Arabidopsis thaliana: one gene and its partners. The protein of the gene in region 1 interacts with the protein of each later gene in a pairwise test. Each region holds a gene or a part of one and is shown in the gene's direction. Other genes may lie near its edges. The genes, in order: J3, KAI2 and SIP4.

Region 1 (6,501 bases):
AGATCTACAACGATGTACAATTATAGCCGTTCGCCAGGATTTTACGCAGAGAAGATATTGAAGATTTTCATCAAGCGCATGGAAAATGAGAAAGAATTTTCGTATGTCGTGGATCTAATAAGGGTCAGAAGGAATTGTCCGTTATCTAGTTGTACTAGTTGTTAATTACCTAATTACCCATGCAAACAATCATTTACTTAGTCTTAAACTACTCTCATGAGGTTGTATTTCACAAAATGTTTCCAATTAATAGTATAGATTATCATGTCATCTTATTTACCAACCTACTTGCATGTTAACAAGAAACTATTATTCACAAAATAATATTATTTTATGTAAATTTTTTTTTTTGCAAAACAAAATATTATAAAAAAAAATATATATATTTTAAACTTCTTTTATGAAATAAAATATTTAGCATAAAACAAAGATAATTTTTATTTTTATTTTTACCTTCGTTAATATCAAATCAAGACTATAAAGTCATTGTACAAAACATCGAACGAAAATTATAACGTAAGCACCATAAAATGAGAAAAATACACAAACTATAGTGATTGACGATGCTTTTGACATATAAGTCTTACTCGTTAACAGATTATTAAATCTATTTTTTTCGTATTTGATCTTACGCTTATGCAAATTATGTTTCTGGATAGCATTTCTTGCTTAAACTTCCATATCGCATACCGTATTTAAAACCATATGCTTCTGATAACAGTTATGAAATATCAACATTATGATACCAAAACTTCCGTATCATAATCACTTTAACTATCTTTGACTTTGTTTTCTCTCACCATTATATCCCGAGAATAAATTATGACGTCTCAGTATAGTATGAGCCATCTTCTGATTGCAATTATATATATATCACATTGTTCTCCACATCATCCAATGATAGCATGTATCCCCAACATCCATGTGTATCTCTTCCAACAAATCTATCTGGATCATATAACTCCTACTTTTATGTGTCTTGGTTTTTAGAGCCACACAATCCTCAACTAGAGAGTTTCCCAAATCTTCAAAAAATCCGAAATAAGTATCAAACAATATCTCAATTTGATTTTCTTCTATAAGTAAAAGAAAGATGAAATGTCAGTAGTGATGACACCAAACAATTTTGGGTTGAGGAACTTCAAAATGTTTTCAAGATAACACCAATCAATTGAAGGGATGGTGAAGAAAACATTCGGACCTGAGTAATCCTTATTATAAATCCCAGAGAAGATGGTAAAATCAGTGATGATCAAATTACTTACCAATATGACGCTCTCTAAAGATGAAGAGAAAGAAACCGTCATCGTTTTCAACCAACAAATTGCTATAACCACGAATGTGTTCTTTAGAGACAAAACCAATTGATGGAGATAGAGTTTGTGAGAACGATAAAGAAGATCGGCGACCAAGGGACACACGATGGAGAGCACTTTGATCGATCGCGTTAGTAGTGAAGATAGAATCGATAGAAAATCGTAACAAAACTTGGGAATCCAGAACCTCATCTTGATAGTTAGAGAGAAGTGTGATGGTGAGCGATCGAGTAAGCGGATAATAAAATCTATAAAAATCAAAGTTCAATCGCTAGTGTCACCTTTTACAGTTGTAACTCCGACAATACAAATTATTTACTTTAGAAGAGAATTAAGAAAAAAAAGAAAAAAAGAGTCGCCGACGAACCGACAATTGTCAGTGACTCTAAAAACAAATATACAAAGATAAAAAACCAAACAAAAAAATAACAAAATTAAATTTCTTTCACGAAATATATTTTTCTAAATTATCAAATGAAAAAATATTTTTTTACGCTCTTTAACAAAACTCTAATAATTAGTTTTTTTTTGTGAATCGATTGTAAAATTTTTTAGTTATGTTGAGAAGAATAACACAATTTTTTTTTCTTTTACATAAAAAACTTATGTGAGTTTTATAAAAAGTAACGTGAGTTACATAAAACTCATGTAGTTTTATAATTTGTTATTATGTTGCTCGTATAAAAATTTATTTACTTAATATTGTAACAAAACAAAACAAATTTTTTTGAAAAAAATCGTCATAAAAAAAAAGTCAATATAATCTTTTTTTTGTCAAACAAGTCAATATAATCTTAGTAGTCGTTGTTGTACAACAAACATCTACAATATACTTTTCTGTCTACCCAAATAATATAATTTTCCTCTTTTGTATTCAAAAAAATAATAATTTATCTCTACATGTTGGAAATATCAAATATAGTAATAATGTTTTTAAGAGAAAAAAAGGAAAAAAGAAAGTAATAAAACATTCTAGAGAGTTCCAAACTCCACAAAACCTCAAACAAAAGCAAACGCAATTTAGCCTCTTCATAAGAGAGAAGTCCTCTCAGAGAAACGGCAGCCACATCAACCAACCCAAACATCGAAAGAGAGACACTTTTCTCTCTCTCTTTCTCTATCTCCTTCCAATCTCTCTAGGGTTTTCGTTACAACGGCGAAAAGATGTTCGGTAGAGGACCCTCGAAGAAGAGCGACAACACTAAGTTCTACGAGATCTTAGGTGTTCCTAAGAGCGCTTCACCAGAAGATCTCAAGAAAGCTTACAAAAAAGCCGCTATCAAGAATCATCCTGATAAGGGTGGAGATCCCGAGAAGGTGAATAATTTCTTAGATCCGCTTAGATTCTCTCGAATTCGATTGTTTGATTGTGTTTTTTTTTTCGATTGATTTGTTGTCTTGTTAGTTTCTTAATGTTGAATTTTGATCCGATCTGATAAAAAAGTTTGAGTTTTGGCGATTAATCAAAAATTAGGGTTTTGATGATATAGATGTGTCTTGCTTTGATAATTGAGTGGTTAAAGTTTGGTTCTTTGTTAGGTTATGAGTTTGATTTGTTGTGTTATGTGTTGATTGCAGTTTAAGGAGTTAGCACAAGCTTATGAAGTGCTTAGTGACCCGGAGAAGCGTGAGATTTATGACCAGTATGGAGAGGATGCACTCAAGGAAGGAATGGGTGGTGGAGGAGGTGGACATGATCCATTTGATATTTTCTCATCCTTCTTTGGTGGAGGCCCCTTTGGAGGTGAGTCTCCTTGGACACTGTACACTTTATGATATCGCAATTGAGAATTTTCGTTTGAATATGTTTCTGTTTTTGAATAGGTAATACCAGCCGGCAAAGGAGGCAGAGGCGTGGTGAGGATGTTGTTCATCCCTTGAAGGTATCTCTTGAGGATGTGTACCTTGGTACAATGAAGAAGCTTTCACTTTCTAGGAATGCTCTCTGCTCTAAGTGTAACGGGTTAGTACATTCGACTCGATCTTGCGTTTTTGGTGTAGCTATATGTGTCCTAGGTTCATAATAATATGAATTAGCTTAAGTTTTGACAGAAACCCTTTATCTCAATTTGTGACCCCAGTTGGTTAAAAGGTTCTGAATTTGTGATTGCAGAAAGGGATCAAAATCTGGAGCCTCCTTGAAATGTGGAGGGTGTCAGGGATCTGGTATGAAGGTGTCTATTAGGCAGCTTGGACCTGGAATGATCCAGCAGATGCAGCATGCATGTAATGAATGCAAAGGGACAGGTGAGACCATCAATGATCGGGACAGGTGTCCACAATGCAAAGGAGACAAGGTCATTCCTGAGAAGAAGGTGCTTGAAGTGAATGTGGAGAAGGGAATGCAACACAGTCAGAAGATCACATTTGAAGGACAAGCAGATGAAGCGGTATCTACTCTCATACATTTACTCCAGCTTTGATTACTAGTATGTTTACTTTTCTTCTGGAGACTAACCTTTTGTTTTATGTTTTTGTGTTGGTGCAGCCTGACACTGTCACTGGAGATATAGTGTTTGTCCTTCAGCAGAAAGAGCACCCAAAGTTCAAGAGAAAGGGAGAAGACCTCTTTGTGGAGCACACACTTTCTCTAACCGAAGCTTTGTGTGGCTTCCAATTTGTTCTGACTCACTTGGATGGCAGAAGTCTTCTCATTAAATCTAATCCTGGGGAGGTCGTGAAACCTGGTACGTATTCAGATGCATCGTCATACTCAGATTTTACAGTTACTATAACTGTCTCTGATTGAAACATGATCACTTATCTTATGTGTTTGACAGATTCATACAAGGCAATAAGCGATGAAGGAATGCCGATATACCAGAGGCCATTCATGAAGGGTAAGCTCTACATCCACTTCACAGTGGAGTTCCCGGACTCGTTGAGCCCAGATCAGACCAAAGCACTGGAAGCTGTTCTACCTAAGCCGTCAACAGCTCAGTTGAGTGACATGGAGATAGATGAATGCGAGGAGACCACGCTCCACGATGTCAACATTGAGGATGAGATGAGGAGGAAGGCACAAGCTCAAAGAGAGGCTTATGATGATGACGATGAAGATGATGACCATCCGGGTGGTGCTCAAAGGGTGCAATGTGCCCAGCAGTAAGTAACTCCTTAGAGAGACTTTGACCCACATGGGTTTGGGCTCCAACCAATTTGTCTCTTGCTTTTTCATTCTAAGTGTATTGGAGTCTTTATGGGAGTTTGGTACGGTTTAAGAATTTGCCCACTTCGGTGGAACATCGAAACTTGTTTTCTCTTTTTCCTCTGACTTTAAAAATTAAGGCCTTATTACAATTTTGTGTTTTTTCTTTATGATTAAATTTGTAGTAATTTAATGTCTAAGAACATATATACTGTGTGTTTTCTATATTGATATGGATTTAAAATTCAATAATTTTTGTGTTCATGCAGAACAAATGCTGCTATATAGTCTAAGATGTTCATATTTATCCTTTTTGTTGTATATGTCACCATGTTTTGGGTGTTAACTCCGATGACATGTACGTACGAACTACAGTAAAAACTCTATAAATTAGTAAAAACTCTATAAATTAGTAAAAAATGTATTAATAATGTTCGGACGACGCAATTTTATTAATTTATAGTGATATTAATTTATTTTATAAACTAATATTTATTAATTTATCTTATAAGTTAATAAAATATTAATTTATAGAAATATTTACGTAAAATATAATATTATATTTTTTAAAAATGTTTCTTAATTTAATTTTCTATATGCTTTGTTGTTTGCATATATAATTATGTCAGCTTTTTATTTTTCTTTGACTTCTTTAATTTATTTTTTGGCAATATCTTGTGACTGTATATTTACGAAATTAACGTGAATGTAAACGTAAACATAAACATGAAAGTTTAATCCAATTTCTCTTTACACAAATCTTAGCAATGCTTTCTCAAATAAAAGATTTTATAAAATCAACTATGACGGATCAAATACGCAAATAGTTATGTGAGTACAATAGAGATCATACCAGTTGTATTTTAAAAAGAGTTGTAATTGTAGCTTGAACAAAAATTTTATATAAAATTAGTTTTAAAATTAGCAAAAAAATTGTACCAAACCAAACCAAAAATTAGAAAATAAAATAACCGAATTAATACTAAATTTTATAATCAAAAGAACCGAACTAAATCGATACCGAATCAAAATATTTTGGGTAATCGAAAATAACAGAAATAAAAATATTTTTTATAACTATTAGTTATTTCTAAACTAAATAATTAAAAATATTTAAAAATATATATAATAGTAAAAATATTAAAAATAATAAAAAATATCCGATATATCTAAAATAACCAAAAATATCTAAAATATTCAAAAATAATCAAAATATCTGAAAATATTCAAAATTAAATAGTCGAATGTATATTAAATTTAAAACCGAAAGAATCAAAATTAAACTGTAACCGAACCAAAATTTCAAAATAATCGAATAGATATTAAACTTTAGAAAAAAACCCCGATAATCCAATGGTTTCAAACTGAAACTGAATAGATAACATATTACCTTGCGAAACTTCCGTAGGTCAAATGGGCTTAAGCCCATAGAACCATAGCCACACAACTGATGTGGTGGACTGGTTAATGCCGCGTAGTCAGAGTCTTTTCTGGTTTTCGTTTGAAAAAAACATCATGTAATTTAGAACGAATAGAGATAGAGAAGCAACATGGAGCCCTGGTGCTGGAAGCAGCTACAGCTAGTTTAGTGATGAGACACGTGCACCTAATTCTAATAAATAAATAAATCAATTCCCAATAAGTCAAAACGACTAAATAAAAAACATTTTCTCTGTAAAAAAATCTAGAACCGTTAGATTGTTAGATGTGTTCAGAGACCGTTGGATTCCATTTCTTTGTCAAAAGACTCAAAACTACCCAAAACTCTTCCATCTTCACCAAATTCTCTCAATCACTCATCAATGGCGATTTCTCAAGCTCAGCCTCTGCTTCTTCTCCTCTTATCAGTCTTCTTCTTACCTGCTTTGCACGCCACTTCTTTCACCTACTGCGGTTTGTTCCTTACTACTACTCTCTTCTTCTTCCTCTCTCAGATTAGGGGTGTTTTGGATCGTACCTAGAAAATATCCAGTATTTTCTATGTTTAAAACACTTCACTTTCCATAAAGATTGAATCTTTATTGTGATTTTGGTTCA
Region 2 (5,977 bases), on another chromosome or scaffold:
ACAAAAAGTCATATATAAGTTAGATTACTTCACAAACAACAACTAATACAGAGATGTAACCAGACTTTATTGACTGAGGAAAAATGTGGTCAACGCAGATACAAGGATGCCAGTAGAATATCTTAAGCTGCTTTCTCTTCATATGTATAGTAAGCTTACCCATCCAGTGTACTCCCCTCTTCCAGGCCATCCCAGAATCTTTGTGCCAGGACCGTCCTGCTCTTTTTATCTTTCCCATAAGTTTCAACATACCATCCTCCGACATCATGCAAACCACAACGAGGCTCAAACAACCAAAACCTGTTTTCAAATCCATGCAATTATGGTTTCATGTCACTGAGGTAAGAAAGATGAAGGCTACGTTAGGGATCAGTATCATAAGTTCAGCATTCCAACAAAGATCACTGACTACTTCAGCATTTCAACAAAGGAAACTACAGAATTCTGTGTTCCAGATATCAATTTATTGAATTGCATTCTAACGAAGATGAAAACAGTGAAAAGGCTGTCCAATCTTGTTATTTTATCGAGTTAAAGGTGAGCCAGAACTAAAATAAAACAAAAATAATATTTGGCTTACTTGCTTGGTGGTAACTTCGCTCTACTGCATCTACATTCACAAATGGAAACCTTTTCCCCAATTTTGTACCAGTGCAAATGTCTCACCTGTAGAGTGTGGATGAAGAATTTTCATACATGCCTATTCCATCAAATAACTAGCGGATCATATCTCTATATGCATCACAGAACAATTCCCCGAAAAAGTACACGTTGTAATTTGCGAAAGGTACATAAAAAGAAATGCTAGATCATATAAGTCACAAACCAGAAATGTCCTATGTTTCATTATCACATGAGTCTTAGCACCATTCCCATCATAGACATAACATGAACCTTCATCTGGGATTGTCCCAAGACCACTTATAGTTCCAACAAGAAGTCTGGCACCACTTTCATTTCCCGGAGGCGATTCAGTGCCATGATTAGATCCTTCATCTGAATTGAGGAAAACGTGTATAAGATCGTGATCACCCTCAATTTGTTTCTTTTCATGATACCCTTTTGGGGGAACCCTAATGGCTGTAGCAACAACTCTTCCAGATACATGCAGCTGAATATCTTTATACGCATCAGAAACATGGTTTTTACTTCTTGAAGATTGTATATGAGATATCTGAAGACCAATCCTTTCAGCAGACATCATGTCATTGTTGCCTTTCTCAACTGCTTGACCAAGGTCCGAATCCATAAACGACGACAAAGCCAATTTCTTTGAGCAAGCAGAAGAAAGCTCAAGGAAGTTATCAACCAAGGAAACCATACCAAAAAGATCCCGTCCTGATACCAAATGCAAAACCTCTCGTGTATCATACACAGACCTTTCCTCAGCTTCAAAACAATCAGGAAGAAGCTCAACAGATTCAACATCAGGCCCAAAGTAGGCCGCTCGTATAGCTGAATAAAAATCTTCTTCAAGTTCATCTAAGTAACCAGTACCATTTGCTACTCTCTTCTCCAATACTATATCATGTATTGCTTCTCTATACCACTTTAACCATTCAACTACTTCCATCTCTTGACTCAATGTCAATCCTGTTTTATACCTGTGAATCATATAACCTTGTCCCGAGTGCTTCTTCATTACCATTCTCCGAGATAGCAAATATCTATCATAGTGTGCTCTCTTTTCAGAATCTGATAGAATCTGTATCATCACCACAAATCATTCATCAGACACTTCTAAAGCTATAACTCTATCACAAAAGCTTGAAAAGCTTGAAATTTTCGATTTTGAAACTAATCATAAGAGTGAAGAGTGAAGCTTTCTTCATTGTACCTCATAAGCAGCGAGAATCTGAACGAATCGTCTCGAATTTGATGGATCTTTCTTGGATTCGATCAGATCAGGATGAGTCTCCTTGGCGAGTCTGCGAAATGATGCTTTGATCTCTGCGATTGAGCTGGTTTCGGAGACATTCAAGATATCGTAAGCGTTCTCCACCGGAAACTCGTTCCGATTGGACTCAGCCTCGCCGCTCAGCAACCGAGTTCTTCCTTGACTCGGGTTAAAGAGAATTCGCGACGGTTCGAAACCGTAATTCAGTTGAACCGGAACTAATCTACTAAAACGCCGGCGTATCAACCCGGCGAGAATCGTCATTTCACGACCAGTATGGTTTACTCAGGTGGGAACGGAGACCGGAAGTGGAAAGAGGATAACGGCACGCCGATGACACGTGGGTCTCTCGATTTCACGCCACGTCATCACGAGTTCAGACTTTATTGGTCAACAGTAAAAACGGTCTTAGGAAAGAGAGAACATGAAGCCATATTACACTAAATGGGCCTTGAATTTTAATGGGCCAGGATCCTCTCACAGATATTTTTGACTCTTAAAATGATGAGGAAGTGGATGTGAATACGTGGTCGTATACTCACCATGGCATTCCATGAATAATTAATGTCTTCTAACTTCTAAATGATCGAAAAGTACTGACAAGTTAAAGTCAAGCAGAAAAAAACAAATATTATGAGGTTTTTAGATGCTATATTCATTGCAAGTTGTATACATGCGAAATTTAACTAGTGTTGTTAAAATAATAATTATATCAGCTTTTGACTATTTGCTGCCACTCTTTGAATGATTGAAACTAATTTTCTTTCGCATTAATGCATTGTTGAAATTCATGCACAAAATTAAAAATAATTGGTTCATGTATTTGTAACCCAATGTAACAATTTTATTGTTGAACAGAAGTCAGTAACTCCACGTCATGTACTCCATTAAATGTTCCAAAATATTTTGGGCTTGATTCCAAAAAACAAATTATCACGAATAGCGATGTTTGACAATCCAACAAACATGGTTCCATTCACCTTTTTTTGCCACCTGTAAATCGCGATATTTTAAATAATTTATTTCCTCTTCCACAGATACGAATTTTTTTATAAAGAATAATACGTAACACTCTAAAACAACACAAATATCATAATTTCTCCACGAACTGACTAAGAGAGGTACCAAGAAGAAAACCAGAGAAGAATCTTCTTTAGAGAGATGGGTGTGGTAGAAGAAGCTCACAACGTGAAGGTGATTGGTTCAGGAGAAGCCACGATCGTGTTAGGTCACGGGTTCGGCACGGACCAGTCAGTATGGAAACACTTGGTTCCACATCTGGTCGACGATTACCGCGTCGTCCTCTACGACAACATGGGAGCCGGTACGACCAACCCTGACTATTTCGACTTCGATCGTTACTCAAATCTCGAAGGCTACTCTTTCGATTTGATTGCAATCTTGGAAGATCTCAAGATTGAGTCTTGTATCTTTGTTGGCCACTCTGTTTCTGCCATGATTGGTGTCTTGGCTTCTCTTAACCGTCCTGATCTCTTCTCCAAAATCGTCATGATCTCTGCTTCTCCGAGGTATAACTTTTTCACAAGTTGTACATAGAAATATGTTTTGCTTTTTATCTCATCCTGACATAGTTTAGACAAAAGGGCTTCTCTGTTCCTTCTCTTGTCTGATTTCATAAAAACTATTAAACATTACAATTTAAATAAAAAAAAATCATCTTAAGTCCTTAAATTTACACAATTATCTATTATTTCGAAATATTTATTTCTCATTCTGACATAATTTCGACAAAGTGCCTCTTTGTTTATCCTCTTGTCTGAATTATCCTATTTCTCAAAATCAGTGAAGCATTTCATTATATATTTCAATAAAAATCCGTAAATTATGAACAAAAAATCATGAAATACCCATTTGTTTATTTGTTTTTTTTTATTTGGTTTTACTGAGGTGTTACTTACACTTTTTTTAAAAAAAATTGTTGAAACGGTGCTCACACAGTATATTATATATTTTAATTTTCTTCTGACAAAAGAAACATATATAATCAAATTATATTGTTTTGGTACGTTTATAGATACGTAAACGATGTTGATTACCAAGGTGGATTCGAACAAGAAGACTTAAACCAACTATTCGAAGCCATCCGAAGCAACTACAAAGCGTGGTGCTTAGGTTTCGCTCCACTCGCCGTCGGTGGCGACATGGACTCCATCGCCGTTCAAGAATTCAGCAGAACACTCTTCAATATGCGTCCCGACATAGCTCTCTCCGTCGGCCAGACCATTTTCCAAAGTGACATGAGACAGATCTTACCTTTTGTCACTGTTCCGTGTCACATTCTCCAAAGTGTTAAGGACTTAGCTGTACCAGTCGTTGTCTCCGAGTATCTTCACGCCAATCTTGGCTGTGAATCCGTCGTCGAGGTTATTCCTTCTGATGGTCATCTTCCTCAGCTTAGCTCACCAGATTCTGTTATTCCTGTCATCCTCCGTCACATTCGTAATGACATTGCTATGTGATTGTAAGAGATTTAATTAGTTAATTATTAAACGATGTAAGAAAAGTTGAAAAAAAATATCTGATGTGATATGTCTGTCTAGTCTATTGAGAACATTATTTCGTTGTCGTTTGGTTCTGATTCGTTTATCTTGAGTATCTTGATCTTTGTTGTTCTTATCTTGTTTAACGAAAAGTCTCTGTCTTTTGTCCACAGCTTTGCTCAGAGCTCATTATTGCTTGATGTAATAGTGATGTTCGTAATTGATGGTCCATAGTGAATTATTGCAACTTTGCAAGAGTGCTTGTGCTATACTGTGTGAAGAGTAATTAACATGTGATACTAGGAATTAGCATTGAGTTTGCATTTATGGATGGGTAATCCAAACCATAAAACATACATATTGTGATGGTTTTGAAATTTGTTTGTTTGTGAACAAAAATTAGCCAAGTTTTAAACAAAGTAAAATGAAAATTTAGGGTTTTGAATTAGGATGGAGTTAAGTCATATTTTGTTAGGTTTGTTTGCTTATGAAATTATGGATTTGTTTGATGTTATTATAGGGATGCGGTGCAAAAGATATTGTTTTCTATATTATCATTTATCACTAATAACTTTCAAATTTTATTGACGCGCCTGCTCAGATTTTATTCGATTTGTTGTTTATGAAATTAGTTATAGATTGGTAAGTAAATAGCTTTAAAAAATTAGTGATACAAAACAAAATGGTAAATATTGTATTGCTTCTTACTAGTCAATACTATGATTAAACTTCCATTTTATAATTCACTTTATATAAAACTTCTATTTATTTTCTTAAAATTATTTTATTATTGAAATTTAAATATCATTTGGTACAATATTATTTCTTCATCACTAGTCAAATACTATGATTAGCCTACCCAAAAAAAAAGTCAAATACTATGATTAAACTTCCATTTTTTTAAAATTCATTGCAGGTCATACAATTTAAATGTTTACATAGTCATGAAAGAATTGAGAACATATATATACTTCAAATTTGTTCTCCAATACAGTCACACACCTAACTTCAATTTGCTTAGAATTTCTTTGGCAAGACGATTAACAGAGCTAGCCCATTGTAAAAGGGTAATAAATAATAAGTGGGCTAGGCCCATATATACACAACAAAAAGTCACGTGACAAGAAACTTCATACGTGTGCGACTCTTGCCCCAAAATTTGATTAGCACCACTTATTGAGAAGCAGCAGCAGCACCACAAGCACCACCACCAGTATCACATTCACATTCACCATCATCGTCTCTTCGCTCTTATCTCTCCGTTACTTTTTTATTTACTATCTCTCTCTTCCCCGTTACTTTTTTTTCTTCCCCGTTTCGTTCTCCGTCAAAGTCTTCTCTCTTTACCATTTTCTCCACTGTACTAATTTCCCTTTTTACCCCTAAACCCATCGTTCCCGTGACACGACGGCCACGAAGAAGAGGGATAAAATTGAGAAAGATTAAATAGGCGATTGATTTCTCCATCGGAGACACCACCGCTCAAAAAATGGCGACGGCGACGGCGACATCGGAACGATTCGAGTTAGCCAAGCACTGCAGTTCACGGAACTGGTCTAAAGCGATCCGAGTTCTCGAT
Region 3 (6,066 bases), on another chromosome or scaffold:
TAGTTTCTATTTTCTCCTGATTCAAGCATCTTTGGAGGACAAGATTGATGTTGATTCATCATTAAACACACTTTAAAAATAATATAAGCTTTTTTTTTTTTTTCCATAAATAATATAAGCTTATAATGCGGGGTTCTCTAAAAGGACTACACAAACAAAAGGGTTGTGGCTAAACTGCGCTTGAACAGTCAGCGACTGTGACGGCATGTCGAGACTGACTGGGCATGCAGAGATGCCATGTACTCCTAAAGAAATTCTCAGCCGTCGGATTGGTTTCAGCGCACACGAGGACAAGGACAGTACTCAACTTTTGGTTCGTTCACCACTCGTGGGACCCTGCCTTGCTTACGATCTCGATCGAGTGGTAATATTAGCCCCCACGGTGCACGTTAACGTATGACAGGCTCTTGGAACTTCTCAATCTCTCTGCCCTTTTTGGTAATGTGCGTAGCGCTTTTTCCGGAGCGGTTTTCCCGCGTCTTGTCTCACATCCCCAACCCTGTCTTAAAAATGTTTTTTACCTAAACTGCGCATTTTAACAATAATATGCGTATGTCAGCATGAAATCGCACGTTAGTAACGCAGTCCTCTCACTATCTTATGTTGATAGCAGCTGAAATTGAGTTCACTAGAAGATACTAATTATTGAACGTTAATTAGAAAATACTAATTATTCTTGATTAACCATATTGTTTGGTTTGTTTTACTAGATGTATTATCCTAATGAAGAAAATAATAAATTAGGATATGTATACGTTTGAATATATATTTAGTAATGAAAAATGTGATAATATGTACGTTTTGAGTATGTGTTCAGGAGGAAGGCAAGAGTACCGTAGTGATAAAGAAGACTAGGAAGATCGGTGACCGGAGCAAGGAGGCAGAGCTACGGAGGATTCTAAGGGGATTGGGCTCATCTCCACCACGGTGCTCCTCCAAGTGTGGAAGATGCACTCCGTGCAAGCCTGTTCACGTTCCGGTGCCTCCCGGCACGCCTGTCACCGCCGAATACTACCCGGAAGCTTGGAGATGCAAGTGCGGCAACAAGTTGTACATGCCATGATCTTTTATAATATATATACTCACATATATACATTATATATATGAATTATATGCATGTTCGTAGTTATATCTTGCCTCTACTCCAAATATTTATTATACATTGACATGTTGCTAGGACAACCTCAACGTGAAACTTTTGCTGATAAATTGATTGATGATGCTCGTATAGACGATATGACGTTCTTAGCATATGATTTCGTATATGGTGACATAATTCATGAATAATATCAACATTTGGTGTCAAAAGGAAACATATTTCTTGTCTTCTTCTTCAACGTACTTGCTTATAATGAACAAAAAATAAAAAAACGTACTCGCTTTCTAATAAGTATCACATAGGTTTAGGCTCATAAACATATGGACTAACATAAATAAACCAAAAGCCCAATAACATTACTCTTAGCATATACATATAAGTAAACTATTAACATCTGTCTGCGGGACTCGTTGATTTCATTTAAATTCTGTAGTCTCAGCTCGTTCAATTTAATCTATTCGTACACACTGATAATATTCAAGAAAACATATGCTAACGTATAACGTATTACGTATCCAAATACACCTTACACCACTCACACATAGCCCATATATAAAAGTTTGAAGGATTTAAAGTCGCAGACTCGCGGTCATTTTTTTTCTTTAAAGTCGCAGTCATTGACTGACTGATTCTTCTTTCTTATTGAAAGGTTTTTTATGTAAAGACGAAAGTTTAATCAGGATGTGAATATGGTACGGCCCATGTTCTTTATTCCTTTTTTTTTTTTTGGTGCAAAGTTCTTTCTTATTCTATGTTAGAAAAATAATCAAATTACCGACGCGAGCAAAGGTTATTATTTCCTGGCTATTAGTCTATAACTGATAAATAATTAGTCAATCAGATCAAACAATAGAGAAATAATTAGTCTGCAATCAGCGATTATTAAAAAATAAAATAAAATAGAAACATATCTCAGCACCGATTTTTCAACAGCCGGCCCACGATCCAGAACCGTCCAGCTTGAAGCCGGCGCCGCGTCGACTTGTTCCACCGTTCGGATATTGCCACGTGTGTGAGAGACACCTGCCATTACCTCGTGGAACATGTTTTGTTAGTATAAGTTACTAACCAAGTCGCTATCTTCAATTCTTCATTACCTAAGAGTTGAATAAAAAAACAACCATATACGATGAGACACGCAAATAACTGATATACGAAACAATTATTTATTGATGTACATTCTTCTAACTATAATACTACAAGATTCTGAATAGTTTTAGATGTAAAAAGTACGAGAAGAGTTATGATCAGAGTAAGTTAAGTGATAAGATCATGACACGTAGGCAGAGGAAATAAAGTAGAAACTATCGACAACATAATAATTGAGTGAGTACAAAAACCACGTAATAATTAGGTGTACACTGTAGTCTGTAGATCGATTGTACAAAATGAAAAAACTATATGATTTAAGGAACTAGATATACATATGCATCGACTCAAGAACAGTTGCTTTATGTGAAGACTATCAATTACATTATCGGCTAAATTTGGCTTCATGTGTTGAATAGATGGATTGTGTGCTCAGGTAGTTGTGTCAGTTAATTATAACAGTAAACCTTCACTGCTTCACATATATAAAATTTGGGTTAAAAAAACTTTAACATTTTATTTTTTTAATTGACAACAAACAAATTCTGTAACGGTTACATATAATAGTGCTTCAGTTAAACTCCTTTTTTAGGCAACTCTAATTCCTTTATACCCTTAATCCATTATTATTCTATCGAACTTATCTTTTTAAAAGCTTCCGCGTTACGCCATCACTTCTCCACCATTTAAATACCTAAACCACTTTCTTTCAAATTTCTTATTCCATAAAAAGTAAATTCACAACAAAACCAAAAAAAAAAAAAGAGAAGAAGAATTAGCTTACGTGTTCATCACATCTGCATTACGCGCAAACGAAACAGATTCAAATTCTCCGGCGAAGTTTTCTTATTCATCAATCAATCTCTGGATTCATCAATCATGCCAGAGATCGAGATTGCCGCCGGCAGCGGCGACAACAACGACGCCTTATTCGGTAAATATGAGCTCGGAAAGCTTCTCGGATGCGGCGCATTCGCCAAAGTCTTCCACGCACGTGATCGTCGTACCGGCCAAAGCGTCGCCGTGAAAATCCTCAACAAGAAAAAACTCCTCACAAATCCAGCTCTAGCCAACAACATCAAACGCGAGATCTCAATCATGAGAAGATTATCTCATCCAAACATCGTCAAGCTCCACGAAGTAATGGCGACAAAATCAAAGATCTTCTTCGCAATGGAGTTTGTTAAAGGAGGAGAACTATTCAACAAAATCTCAAAACATGGACGTCTTAGCGAAGATTTAAGCCGGAGATATTTCCAGCAACTGATCTCCGCCGTTGGTTATTGCCACGCTCGCGGTGTTTACCACCGCGATCTCAAACCAGAGAATCTATTAATAGACGAAAACGGAAACTTAAAAGTTTCCGATTTCGGTCTAAGCGCGTTAACGGATCAGATCCGACCCGATGGGTTGTTACATACCTTGTGTGGTACTCCGGCGTACGTTGCGCCGGAGATTCTATCTAAAAAAGGATATGAAGGTGCTAAAGTTGATGTATGGTCTTGTGGAATCGTCTTGTTCGTTCTCGTCGCCGGTTATTTACCGTTTAACGATCCGAATGTGATGAATATGTATAAGAAGATTTATAAAGGAGAGTATCGTTTTCCTCGTTGGATGTCTCCAGATCTGAAACGATTCGTTTCTCGTCTTTTAGATATTAATCCTGAGACTAGAATCACCATTGATGAGATTTTGAAAGATCCTTGGTTTGTTAGAGGAGGTTTTAAACAGATCAAGTTCCACGATGACGAGATCGAAGATCAGAAAGTGGAATCGTCACTAGAAGCTGTGAAGAGTTTAAACGCGTTTGATTTGATTTCTTACTCGTCGGGATTGGATTTGTCGGGATTGTTTGCTGGTTGTAGTAATTCGAGTGGTGAATCGGAGAGGTTTTTATCGGAAAAGTCGCCGGAGATGTTGGCGGAGGAAGTGGAGGGGTTTGCGAGAGAGGAGAATCTGAGGATGAAGAAGAAGAAGGAGGAAGAGTATGGGTTTGAGATGGAGGGGCAAAATGGGAAATTTGGTATCGGGATTTGTATTTCGCGGTTGAATGATTTGCTTGTGGTGGTGGAGGCACGGCGGAGAGGTGGTGATGGTGATTGTTATAAGGAGATGTGGAATGGTAAACTCAGGGTTCAACTTATTCGCGTTTGCGATCAGACGTCGTCAACAAACGCGGCTATTTAAAAGAACGCTATGAAGTTTTCTACCGTGCTTTCAATTTTAAAACGCCAATCGCGTTTCGTTGGTTGGATTTGGTTTCTACTACTTTTGTTTCGGAATTAAAAACAGAGAAAAAATAATAAAAATTAATGTATGTATTTAAATACTGTACCAAATTGTAGGTATCTATTTTGTGCTTTTTGATCAATGTGTTACTATGTACAACAACAAGTCTAAAATTGCATTTGTAGATACTTCACTCTTTTGTATAATGTAGAAAATGTTCTTCTATTTATAGTTTGGATTTTCCAATTTTACACATTTGTACATAACTACTTTTTAAAATCAACCATGCAAATTGTATTAAGTTAAAGTGCATGATAACCAAATCAGATTAATAACCAATGAATTGAAAATAAAAAGTAGATAAATTACTAAAATAAAATAATCTCTAAATCGCATAAACTCATCTAAACTCTCAAAAATCCATACATTACACATTTTTTTTTTTTTCAAAAAGGCTTTCAATTCTATACATTTTTCTGCTTATCAAATATGGCTTCTTCACTTTAATATTTATGTATAGAATTGAAAGCATTTTTGAAAGAAAAACTTTGTGTAATGTATTATTGAACAAATGAAATGATTGAAATGGGAGTTCCACATCCAGTGAAGAAAAAGCATTAAAAAGTATGTATAGAATCAGGGAACTTCAAAAATTGAAATCTGCAGCTTTATAAAAAGAAAAGCTATTATTGTCTACTTGATTGGATATTACAACTCAAAACGAGTGAAGGTTAAGGAATCATTATCATTATTAAAGCATCATCATAAGCACCAGCCTTTTGTTATTCTTCTCATCATTTGTTTGGCCAATTTAAAATTTTAATTAATATCATCTCACCATAGTTTCTGCCCACCTTTTGGTTTTAGGTGCAAATGGAAAAACTCTGGCAAATTAGGTTGTTTGGTGTGAATTAGGAAAGTAGAATGCTTATTGAATATTCTTGACTATATCTAAACTCTCTTTATTCACTTGGGTGATTTCCTCATAAAAATATTATTGTACCAAACTCTCTGAAATCAAAGTTTACTATATAGCTAAAATAAAAACCAAAAACTCTACTAAACCAAAGTTAAGAATAAATTCTTTATTAGAGACAAACTCAAAATTGAAAACCATCATTTATTGTATCTGAAAAGTAAAAAGAAAAAGAGGATATAATATGAGGAGAGATTATTTGAAAGCTGAAATTTTAGTTGCGGTAAAATTTGACATAAGTGAGCAAATTTTATAAGCTCTAAAATCAATAGGAGACCTATCACGGTATCACTATCATGATGGGTAACAATGTCATGTGAACCAAGTAAAACAAAATACAGTATAGGAAATGAATTATAAAAAATTGGGCCATTATAAAATTGGGTCATTGAATACAGTGGGCCTTAATCATACATTTCGGCCCATTCTCATCCTTAAGAGATAAAACGGATTTTTTAGTGTAATAATCTGTCGTCTTCAACGGTCGAATTGAATCCAAGAGATATGAGAGAGAAAAGGGGAAATCGGAAAGCCCTAGATCCCGTCGGTGAGGATGGAGTCACCGGAAAAGATGGAAAAGGCTTCTTCGCCTGTTATCTCTTGACCTCTCTTAGCCCTCGTCATAAGGGTCAAACCTATATCGGGTACTTGTTTCTCTCATCTCTGATTTTGG

Evidence for each region.
Region 2: the proteins of J3 (region 1) and KAI2 interact in binary tests that used the Arabidopsis thaliana proteins (3 or more experiments, as listed by UniProt).
Region 3: the proteins of J3 (region 1) and SIP4 interact in a two-hybrid assay, tested with the Arabidopsis thaliana proteins (one study listed by BioGRID).

The regions. Positions count from the first base shown.
Region 1 is NC_003074.8:15,867,039-15,873,539, reverse strand, and holds J3 (DNAJ homologue 3), read left to right. Parts: upstream 1-2,283; 5' UTR 2,284-2,480; coding exon 2,481-2,633; intron 2,634-2,894; coding exon 2,895-3,060; intron 3,061-3,140; coding exon 3,141-3,279; intron 3,280-3,429; coding exon 3,430-3,706; intron 3,707-3,804; coding exon 3,805-4,003; intron 4,004-4,096; coding exon 4,097-4,425; 3' UTR 4,426-4,909; downstream 4,910-6,501. Other genes in the region: AT3G44100 (MD-2-related lipid recognition domain-containing protein), read left to right, coding at 6,267-6,357. UniProt on the Arabidopsis thaliana protein: Plays a continuous role in plant development probably in the structural organization of compartments.
Region 2 is NC_003075.7:17,615,445-17,621,421, reverse strand, and holds KAI2 (alpha/beta-Hydrolases superfamily protein), read left to right. Parts: upstream 1-2,765; 5' UTR 2,766-3,058; coding exon 3,059-3,426; intron 3,427-3,932; coding exon 3,933-4,377; 3' UTR 4,378-4,763; downstream 4,764-5,977. Other genes in the region: AT4G37480 (Chaperone DnaJ-domain superfamily protein), read right to left, coding at 160-300, 581-666, 827-1,705, 1,838-2,161; SRFR1 (Tetratricopeptide repeat (TPR)-like superfamily protein), read left to right, coding at 5,888-5,977.
Region 3 is NC_003071.7:12,935,574-12,941,639, reverse strand, and holds SIP4 (SOS3-interacting protein 4), read left to right. Parts: upstream 1-2,805; 5' UTR 2,806-3,067; coding exon 3,068-4,375; 3' UTR 4,376-4,661; downstream 4,662-6,066. Other genes in the region: CHAL (allergen-like protein), read left to right, coding at 189-364, 818-1,063; AT2G30350 (Excinuclease ABC, C subunit, N-terminal), read left to right, coding at 5,898-6,037.